Linked DNA regions of Saccharomyces cerevisiae S288C. The gene in region 2 interacts genetically with the main gene of each other region. Each region holds a gene or a part of one and is shown on either strand. Other genes may lie near its edges.

Region 1 (3,763 bases), on a different chromosome or scaffold from region 2:
TCCAAAGTTTTGCGTATCGGAAGTGCCTTTGTGATTCAGCGATTTTTTTATCAACGAATTGATTTGGTATTCATCGGAATTTGCTTCAAAAAGTTCGATGATCTCTCTTAACAAATCTTCCTTTTCGTTAACGTTAGGTGGTGGTAGAGGGAAAGGACATTGTTCTTTTTCATTTGCTGAGTTATTGTTGTTTCCGTGCATACTATTGTTATTATTATAACCATGGAGAACATTGCTAAAACCAGCAGAACCCGAACTATGGTTTTGGTGCTGCGATTGTTGTGATTGCTGGTTAAATACAGGTATAGAAACATTTCCTTGTTGTTGGAAAGTCACAGCTCCATTGAATAACTGCTCCTGTAATAAAGGCTGTGGTTGCAAATTGTTGTTTTCTAAACCCAATGGCAAGCCTTGAGAATTGAGAAGAAATTGTGGGGGTTGTTGATGCATAGGTAAGATTTTGGCAAATGAAATTTTACTTGGTGCTCCAATCATAGATACCTCCTTGCCCTGTAAACTATCTAAGGCTTTTACGGCACTTTCCACGGAAGAAAATTCAACTAAAGCCATGTTTAAATTCCTTAAAGTCCTAGCAGATATGACTTCACCATATTTGGAGCATAGGGTTGCCAAGGAAGTACTTGTTAAGTTTATCGCGTTATTTAATTGTGGCTGCTGGTGCTGTAGGGGAAAAACGTTGGAAATAGAAATGGTATTTGTGGGTAAAAGGTTCGATATTTGGTTTATTGATGGTACAGTGGGGTCCATTGTTACCCAATTGATGGATTGCGGATCTATTTCATCAGCAATCAATGGAGATTCCTGTGTTGGAATAGTATAGTGCGATGAAATACTGGCACGAGCGGGCTGTTCGTACAGTGGAGCGTCGGTATATATGCTAGACGCGTTGGATTGAGATCTCTGTCTGGTATTTGACCAAACAGAGTTTGGGATAGCCAAGTTATTCGTATTCATCTTATTATCTGCCATTTGGCTTCCACTAGTAGATACCATGTTGTCAAAATATGCAGTTTTTGTCGAATAATCGTTGAGCGTGTTTGAATTAGTTGTATTATTGCTTGTCGTAGGTTGCAATTGTTGCAAAAGGTGCTGTTGCATGGGATCGTTCGCACTAGCATTTGAAGACCATATTCCGCTCGAAGTACGAGGCTTGGGGGCGATTGATGAAATGGAAGTTATCTGAGAAGACATTGTGTTGTTTCTCGTCCTCGAGATCTGATGTGGCAAGTTAAACGAGTCGCTAGATCCTCGGGGGGCAGGAATTAAGAAGTTATTACTCGAGTCAGGAAAATGCACCAATTTTTCCATGTCTTGAGGAGGGGTTAAACTGCCAGGTCTATCCATAGTTACACCGTCTATAGAACTTTCCATCATCTTACTCCTGGAAGGGCTGGCCCTTGGTGTCTTGGACGCCACCGTAGATTGGGAACTGTTGTTGCTAGAGGAAAACTCAGCACCGTTCTTTCCGTGACTATTTTTCTTCGAATGGTGTAACTTGGCACTGATGGAGGGCAAAAGGTTACTCAATGTATTAGAAAATTTTCCTGCTCGCGACCTATATGATCCAAGCTTTTGGGGTTGTTGCTGCAGTTGGCTATTACTCTCTCCATTGTTCTCGTATTCTTCCTCGTATATTGGGATAGTGATGCCAGGGTCAATCACCTCGGGGATGTTGGACAAGTTGTTGATGTTCATCTGCTTACTTTTATCCATCTTAAGAAGGAATAAATAGACGTTCACGCTCTTTCTCACACATACACACAAATCTCTCGAAGTGCCTCTTATTGTTTTAACTATTCATCTCTATGCGCCATTGGTCATCCTACGAGAAACGCCCCCCTTTGTCCCAATAATTGTCGGCGGGTAATTTGTCCAAATGAAAAAGAGACATTGTCGCGAGGAACGAATAGATGACCCGATTTGGAAAAAGGTAAACAACAATGAAATATTCCTCGAGAAAACAATAATGTTTATTTATGCAAAGGAAACACTTAGAAGGGAACATCTCCATTCACTAAACTTCGTTGGTTTGGTGTATATTTCTTTGATTCAGTCTGTGCAAGAAGAATTTTTTAGTTCATTAAATTATATAAAAACAAAAGTACAGAAGCATGCACGACGCAGAGAGTACCGTAGATTCTCTACTGAAGGAGATAGACAATGAAATGGAACAAACAAAGTCTAATATCACGCAAAATGGTTCCGAAGATACACCACACAACTGGAAGCTTCCGCTGCAGGAAATAGGCGATGATACCATGGAAATGTTGGTCAAACACAATACTAGGTCGAATGCTACAGAAAATAGTAGAGGTCGATCACCTTCTAAGATGTCTACCATCTCAAATGAAAGCCTTAATTTGGGTCTCTTACGTGTAAATTCGGAACTTGAAGAGTCTCCAGCCGCTGTGCATCAGGAACGGATTAAAAACTCTGTTGCCAACGGGGCACTTGGTCATGCCAATTCTCCCAAAGTGCTTAATAATCTGAAAAATATGGCACAAGATATAGATAAACTAGCCCGTGATGAGGAAAAGCCCGTAAAACTTAGCAGCTCTCCCCTTAAATTTACTTTGAAATCGACTCAACCACTGCTGTCGTATCCAGAATCGCCCATCCACAGAAGTTCTATTGAAATTGAAACGAATTACGATGACGAAGATGAAGAGGAAGAAGATGCATACACATGTTTAACACAGTCACCTCAAATATTACACTCTCCATCAAGGATTCCAATAACTAACGCAGTGTCGATTAATAAGCTCAATCTTGATTTCACATTGAATCCCAACGAATCAGACAAAAGTCTAGTATCTGACACCTCAGTTGATAGCACAGGACGAGAACTAGATACGAAAACAATCCCAGAATTACCATTTTGTATGTCATCAACGCCCGAAATGACGCCAGTCGATGAGAAATGTAACCTTCCAAGTAAATTGTTGAACACTAGTAACAATTCACATTCTGATTCAAGATCGCCAACAGCCTCTGTGGAGGATTTAAACATTTCAACGAATCTGCCGGGTGCTGATTCCAGCCAAAATAATCCAGTCACTACTGATGCGGATGCGCTTATTGAAAACGATGTTGTGCGGGACCTTCAACAGAATATGGAACATATCGATGATGCTTTTGATGAGAAAAAAGTTCTTGACGAAGGTTGCAGCAATGAGCCCGTTACCTTTTTGGGTGAAAATGACACTAGGTCCATAGTATACTCTAATAAAGGGACCAATGCTAATGTTCAAGAATTTTCACAGGAAGATTCTCTAGCGCACAGTGAACCCAAATTCAAAGATCTTAATGCTACATCGGATGACGTATGGAATGAAGACAAAGAAACAGACGCAAATATTTCAACATCTACAAAGTCAGAGGAAAGCTACATTGCTGACTATAAAGTAACGAGACAAGAAGACTGGGATACCAAAAAGCTTCATCAAGAAAGTGAACATGCAAATGAACAACCGGCAATAATTCCTCAAAAGGATTCTTCAGAAGAAACATTCACTGAACTAAATAATGAAAGTGAATTCCAAAGGAACTTTAAGGATGGAGAGGAATACCGAATCGTTCAACACGAGGAGAGCCTGTATGGACAAAGAACAAAGAGTCCAGAAGAAAATATAATAAATGGCAGTGAAATTGGTGTCGACCATGGAGAGGCCGCTGAAGTGAATGAACCATTGGCAAAAACTTCTGCAGAAGAACATGATCTTTCATCATCATGTGAAGATCA
Region 2 (3,076 bases):
CTCATACCTTATGTCATCATGTCCACATTTGACACCATATAAGATAATATACTGGTAGTATAACCACTAGTTGATGACGATAGTTGATTTTTATTCCAACACGCGGACATATTAAATGTACGGTGGCTAGCAGGCCTCCTATTCACCATATTTAATCTTCATTAGTTGTACCTTTGACCATTGACAATCAACACAATAATTATGAACAAAATTTCCTGGTACAATGATTATGGTAAAGAAGAAAAAAAACGCTGCTTGCTATAACCAAATCAGAAAATATAATACTATAATAAAAATACATCAAACTACTTATCTTCAATTATTTTCCCGCATAATTAGATCATATAACTGCTGGAACATCAAACAAATATTAGCTCGCGTGGCGTAATGGCAACGCGTCTGACTTCTAATCAGAAGATTATGGGTTCGACCCCCATCGTGAGTGTTTTTTACACCAGCAGTCAAAAAGAGTTACTTTTGATATTGCATGTGTCGATGATGCAACTATGTCTTTCTCTGCGTACGGAATCTAGAGCTATGTTAAATGCTTGTTTTTAAACTATCTATCGTTCATCTAGTTATAAATTATAATTATATTACAGTTTTTCATCTATCCATTCGCGCCATTGGGAAATTTTTCTTTTATTAATACTGCCCTCAAAAGCAACTACAGATGCTTCCAAATTTGCAAATTTGAACCCGTCGGTAGACTGTAAAACGTCTAGTGTATTCTCTGCATAATCTTCTTCGTTAATTTTTCTTTCAACCTCGTTCAACGATTTTTTCCTTCTTTCAATAACCTTTTGAATTTCGCTTTCTAAAGCATCCTTGATCTTTGATGGTGGTCTTGCAGTGAACAATTCGCTTTTATTGCATGCAATTAAGATATCAATACCATTTTCGCAACTAGATTCAGTAATTGATAATATGTCTACCAAGAACTCAGCTGTTGTTGTTAATTTCTTAGGATCAACTGTTGAGTCTACCATAAATATCAACCCTTTAACAAATTTGGCTCTTGTTTTCAAATAATCTGAGAGTTTATAACGCAACTTGACATGGCCTGGGAAGTCCACTAACGTGACGCCGGAACCATCGTAATCCGCTGCTGATAACGGTTCTTGAGAAACAACAGTTGGTCTTACTGAATCTGTGGTTAGCAGCGTAAGCAAGCTCGTTTTTCCAGAATTTTGAGGACCTGCAATGATAATAGATGGTTGATAACTTTTTTGCTTGATCCCTGTCTTGGAGGATGCCTTTTGCACTGCTATTAGCGCTATGGTTGTCCCTATCACCAATAAACAGGCAATAATAAGTGTATTACTAAGCATTCTGATCCCGTGTGCTATTATGCTAATAAACAGCAGTGGTAAAGTAATAATTAATTGATCAATACAGACACTTAAAGCCTAACTATTTCTTTTCTTCTCATCTTTTTCAAGTTTAATGATGGTTCATATTTGTTTTCCATATCTCTTATTTTTTTCCGCCACTAGATGAAAAAAGTGAATGGTGAAAAATTAAGAACAGTATTGCAGCAAAACCTCTGACACTTTAGGACATAAGGTGGCCCGTCTAGTTTAGGTAAAATGATGAAAAGATGCTTCAGTATCCTACCACAAAATGTCCGGTTCAGCTCAAAGTTCACAAGTTTAAACTTACCAAAGTTAGATTTGGCGGATTTTATAGACTCAAATAAAAGAGGAATCAATGTTCTTCCGTCGTACAGAGATGAAACCGCTAGCACCACTCAAGCAACTAATTCTAAAGAGCTCAGATTACTTTCCAAAACACTTCAGGGCCAGTCGTACCGGGACCAATTAGAGTTGAATCCTGATGTAAGCAAAGCAATCAACAATAATATTATGGCTGTACATATTCCCAATAATCTTAGAAGGGTTGCTACAAATTATTACAAAGAGATTCAGGAACCAAATTCATTACATCGTCCCTGTAGAACCAAAATGGAAGTGGATGCACATATAGCGTCCATTTTTTTACAAAATTATGGTTCTATTTTCCAAAGTCTGAAAGAATTACAAAAAAGGGTAGGTCCTGATAATTTTAAACCTCAAAGAATCCTTGATGTTGGATATGGCCCAGCGACTGGTATAGTTGCCTTGAATGATATTTTAGGCCCAAATTATAGACCTGATCTAAAAGATGCCGTTATTTTAGGGAATGCGGAGATGCAAGAAAGAGCCAAAATCATTTTGAGCAGACAACTTAACGAGGTGGTCGATACTGTAGAAGAAAATGTGTCTACAGAGAAAGAGCAGGAAACAGATAGACGGAACAAAAACTTTCAAGAGGATGAACATATTGGAGAAGTGATGACAAAAAAGATAAACATTATGACTAACTTGCGGTCTTCTATTCCCGCATCTAAGGAATATGACCTCATAATATTAACGCATCAACTTCTTCATGACGGGAATCAATTTCCAATTCAGGTGGATGAAAATATTGAGCACTACTTAAATATTCTAGCGCCTGGAGGCCACATTGTTATTATTGAACGAGGCAACCCAATGGGATTCGAGATTATAGCCAGGGCAAGGCAAATTACGCTTAGACCTGAAAACTTTCCAGATGAATTCGGAAAAATACCAAGACCTTGGTCTAGGGGAGTAACAGTCAGAGGCAAAAAAGATGCTGAATTAGGAAACATTTCCAGTAATTATTTTCTGAAGGTGATTGCACCTTGTCCACATCAAAGGAAATGTCCCTTACAGGTTGGAAATCCTAACTTTTATACTCATAAAGAGGGTAAAGACTTAAAGTTCTGCAATTTTCAAAAAAGCATCAAGCGTCCCAAATTCAGTATAGAGTTAAAGAAGGGTAAACTTCTCGCTACTTCATGGGATGGTTCTCAAGGAAATGCGTCGAGGCTAAAAGGAACGGGAAGAAGAAATGGTCGTGACTATGAAATTTTAAACTACTCCTATTTAATATTCGAGAGATCACATAAGGACGAAAATACGTTGAAAGAAATTAAGAAATTACGGAATGAAAATGTGAACGGCAAATATGACATTGGATCACTGGGTGATGACACGCAAAATTCCTGGCCTAG
Region 3 (3,146 bases), on a different chromosome or scaffold from region 2:
CTGAAACTCCTCTGATCAATATTTCTCGTTCTTGCACGAAATTTTCGTACCAGAGGATTCTTCTTGTTGGGAGGTAGGAAGCCTAGCGATATCCTCCTGTGAGTGTTACCGATACCCATACCATTTGTTCGGAGGGAAGGATGCACTTCTGAAAGAGTCTTTGACAAAATTCCAGCCATTTTTTCAACCTTTTTTTTATCCGTATATATTAAGGTATGCTATATGTGTATTTTCCAATGTTTAGTTTTTATAATAATACTTCTTCAGCATCAAATATGCTTGCTTATGTAAAAATACAATCAAGTTTTGTCCCTTGCTTGCGCGAAGATGAAAACTTCCTTAAGAAATATTCTGCATCGCGTGGAACCCATGGAAGAGGATAATAGCTGACAGTGATATTATGAAAAGATGCCAAATGGTTACCGTTTATAACTGTTACTGGTCGCGTCTCAAACGCCCTCTTTTTTCTCCTTGCATTTGCGTTTCTTTAGAGCAATTATTGAGTAAATGGTCTTGAAAAGAAATAGAAATATCCTTAGGCATTTCAGTTCATCTGAAAACATGCTCCAATACGGGCAAACCATGAACTTGTTGTTATGAAATTAATATACATATAAACCAAAAACATTGCACTACATACTTAAAGAGTGAATACACAGTAGTTTAAAAGACATCTGGCAATTTTTCAATGACGTATGCGTGACCGCCTACGCTCATCAAAGGAATTCCAGGGATTTTTCTAATTCTTTGTTTCAGGCCGGCATCGTTTGTAGCTACGATGTAACACTTATGTTGTAAGACTCGATGCACTAAACAGTCATCCGCGTACGTACCCTTGTGCGAACAGCTTAGTCTCTTTATTCTAGGATCTCGAGCCAGTTTCAAGGCGATACGGTACTTGGGGCCCAATTTTTCTAACTCTGCCATCACACAATCTGTGATTAACGGGTTACATTTTGCGAGTAGACAGTCCATCATTCCTCTAACAATATCGACTTTTTTCTGGATAGAAAAATTTATAAAATTGGTATCTATCAGTACTTGATAAGGTGGCTTTATAGCTTGATTGTATTGAAAGAAAAGTGCACTTGATACTTGTGGTATATTCCTGGTTAGCTCAGGGTCTTCTTTAGTTTTGATATTTTCCTGGTTTTTCTTCAATCTTTGGTCTTTCTTGGTGTTCAAAGTTCTTTTTACGAGGCCAAACTTTCTTGTTTTCTTAGCTTTACCCATAATTAACTGTTGTAGTATATCGATATTTCCGTTACAAGTCACTGTTATTGTGTGTTAATGCACAGTAATGTTTAAAGAGGCATCATTCAAGAATAGTAGCAAGCTGAAAAATTTTAGCCGTTCATAATGATACCTTTAGAAATATGCCAAATTTTTTTGTTATATCTTCCAGTAGGAACCGATAGTTTGAGTAATGTTTATAAAATCATTGCAAGTGAATAAGCAATTAATGGCAATAGTCCACAAACGATAGGTACATGAAGGTGGCTCACAATCAAAAAAATCAAGCTTTAAAATAGTGGATGTAGAAAAAATAAAGTGCGTCACAGACAGGATTCGAACCTGCGCAGGTAAAACCCAATGCCTAATTGCTTTTCTGAGGAAATAGCAGGCATCGCCTTAACCACTCGGCCACTGGGACTGAAACACTTTGAAGTGAAAGTGTTTCTAGTTTTCTATATCATTACTATGGTGAAAATCTATATTTTCTTGATTAGGAATAAAATCATGGAAAGAAGTGTTGGAATAAAAATTCACTATCGTCTGTCAACTAATAGTTATAGTATCAATATACTATCATATACGGTGTTAGATTATGACATAAGTTATGAGAAGCTGTCATCGAAGTTAGGGGAAGCTGAAGTGCAAGGATTGATAATGTAATAGGATAATGAAACATATAAAACGGAATGAGGAATAATCGTAATATTAGTGTATAGAAATATAGATTCCATTTTGGGATTCCTATATCCTCGAGGAGAATTTCTAGTATATTCTGTATACCTAATATTATAGCCTTTATCGACAATGGAATCCCAACAATTATCTCAAAATTCACCCAATTCTCAATTTGATAATTGTTGGGATTCCATTGTAAAGAAAATCGGTATTTCTACATTATAATATTACGATTATTTCTCCTTTTGTTTTTTATGGTTTTCATTACCCTATCACATTATCAATCTTTATATTTCAGATTCCATTAAATTTGATAACTTGGTTGATAGATGACAGTTAATTCTTTTTCCAATAGAAACAACGAAGACTTTTTTCTTACTTTTTGTTGATGTTTTTCAAGTTCTGTTTGACCCGTATTTTTCTACGTTAAAATCGTGATTACTTTACGAATCTTGTTTTCTTATTTTTTTTCGATCTATTTAATGAAATGTGGACAATGGCCCCTAACAAAAAGATGGCAAGGATTGAAATAATCCGTTTATACAATTTATATCCAATTATAGAAATAAAACACATTTGAAGAATGGCTTGGTGGAAAAGTTTATTACATTCTTTCTACGGGAGTTAAACCTAACAAGCGCATACCGTTGTATAAAACTTGTCTTGCAGCACCATATAGAGCCAGACGGGCAGTTGCTAATTCTTCAGTTTGACCAGCAACCCATAAGACGTCATAACAAGAAGAAACCTGGTGAGTCAATTTGAATAAATATGTGACCACGGTTGTTGGCTCGTGGGTTTTGATTGCATTTCTCAAAACATCGGGGTATTGGCCTAGCAGTCTAATCAACAGTTTTGCGGCAGGTTCTTTTAATAACGAAAAATCGGCATTTATCCATTTTTCTTGGGTGATACCAGAAGCATTTCTTTCAACTGATCTTAACCTTGAGTGAGCATATTGAAGGTATGGACCAGTGTCACCTTCGAATGAAAGCATTCTTTCCCATTTAAACTCGTAGTTGTTGATACGCTTACCTTGCATATCTTGAATCATGACGGCAGAGATACCAACTAAATCGGCAACTTCTTCTGGATGCTCAATTTGCGCGTATTTGTTCTCATTCTTTTTCATAACTTCGTGCATTTTTTCCTTAGTTTCCTCCAAGATATTATCTAAGAAGACAACAGTACCTTTTCTTGTTGACATACCTTGGACCATACCAAAGTTGACATGC

What was found.
Region 1: mutations in SRP102 (region 2) and JSN1 together harm fitness more than expected from each alone (negative genetic interaction), as found in Saccharomyces cerevisiae (one large-scale study listed by BioGRID).
Region 3: mutations in SRP102 (region 2) and FCF1 together harm fitness less than expected from each alone (positive genetic interaction), as found in Saccharomyces cerevisiae (one large-scale study listed by BioGRID).

The regions. Positions count from the first base shown.
Region 1 is NC_001142.9:596,603-600,365, forward strand, and holds the start of JSN1 (Jsn1p), read right to left. Parts: upstream 1,735-3,763; coding exon 1-1,734. Other genes in the region: BUD4 (Bud4p), read left to right, coding at 2,133-3,763.
Region 2 is NC_001143.9:159,856-162,931, reverse strand, and holds SRP102 (Signal recognition particle receptor subunit beta), read right to left. Parts: upstream 1,332-3,076; coding exon 597-1,331; downstream 1-596. Other genes in the region: tRNA methyltransferase RSM22, read left to right, coding at 1,590-3,076. UniProt on the Saccharomyces cerevisiae protein: Component of the signal recognition particle (SRP) complex receptor (SR). Ensures, in conjunction with the SRP complex, the correct targeting of the nascent secretory proteins to the endoplasmic reticulum membrane system.
Region 3 is NC_001136.10:1,149,288-1,152,433, forward strand, and holds FCF1 (rRNA-processing protein FCF1), read right to left. Parts: upstream 1,234-3,146; coding exon 664-1,233; downstream 1-663. Other genes in the region: YDR338C (uncharacterized protein), read right to left, coding at 1-179; YDR341C (arginine--tRNA ligase), read right to left, coding at 2,516-3,146. UniProt on the Saccharomyces cerevisiae protein: Essential protein involved in pre-rRNA processing and 40S ribosomal subunit assembly. Required for the early cleavage steps of 35S rRNA at the A(0), A(1), and A(2) sites.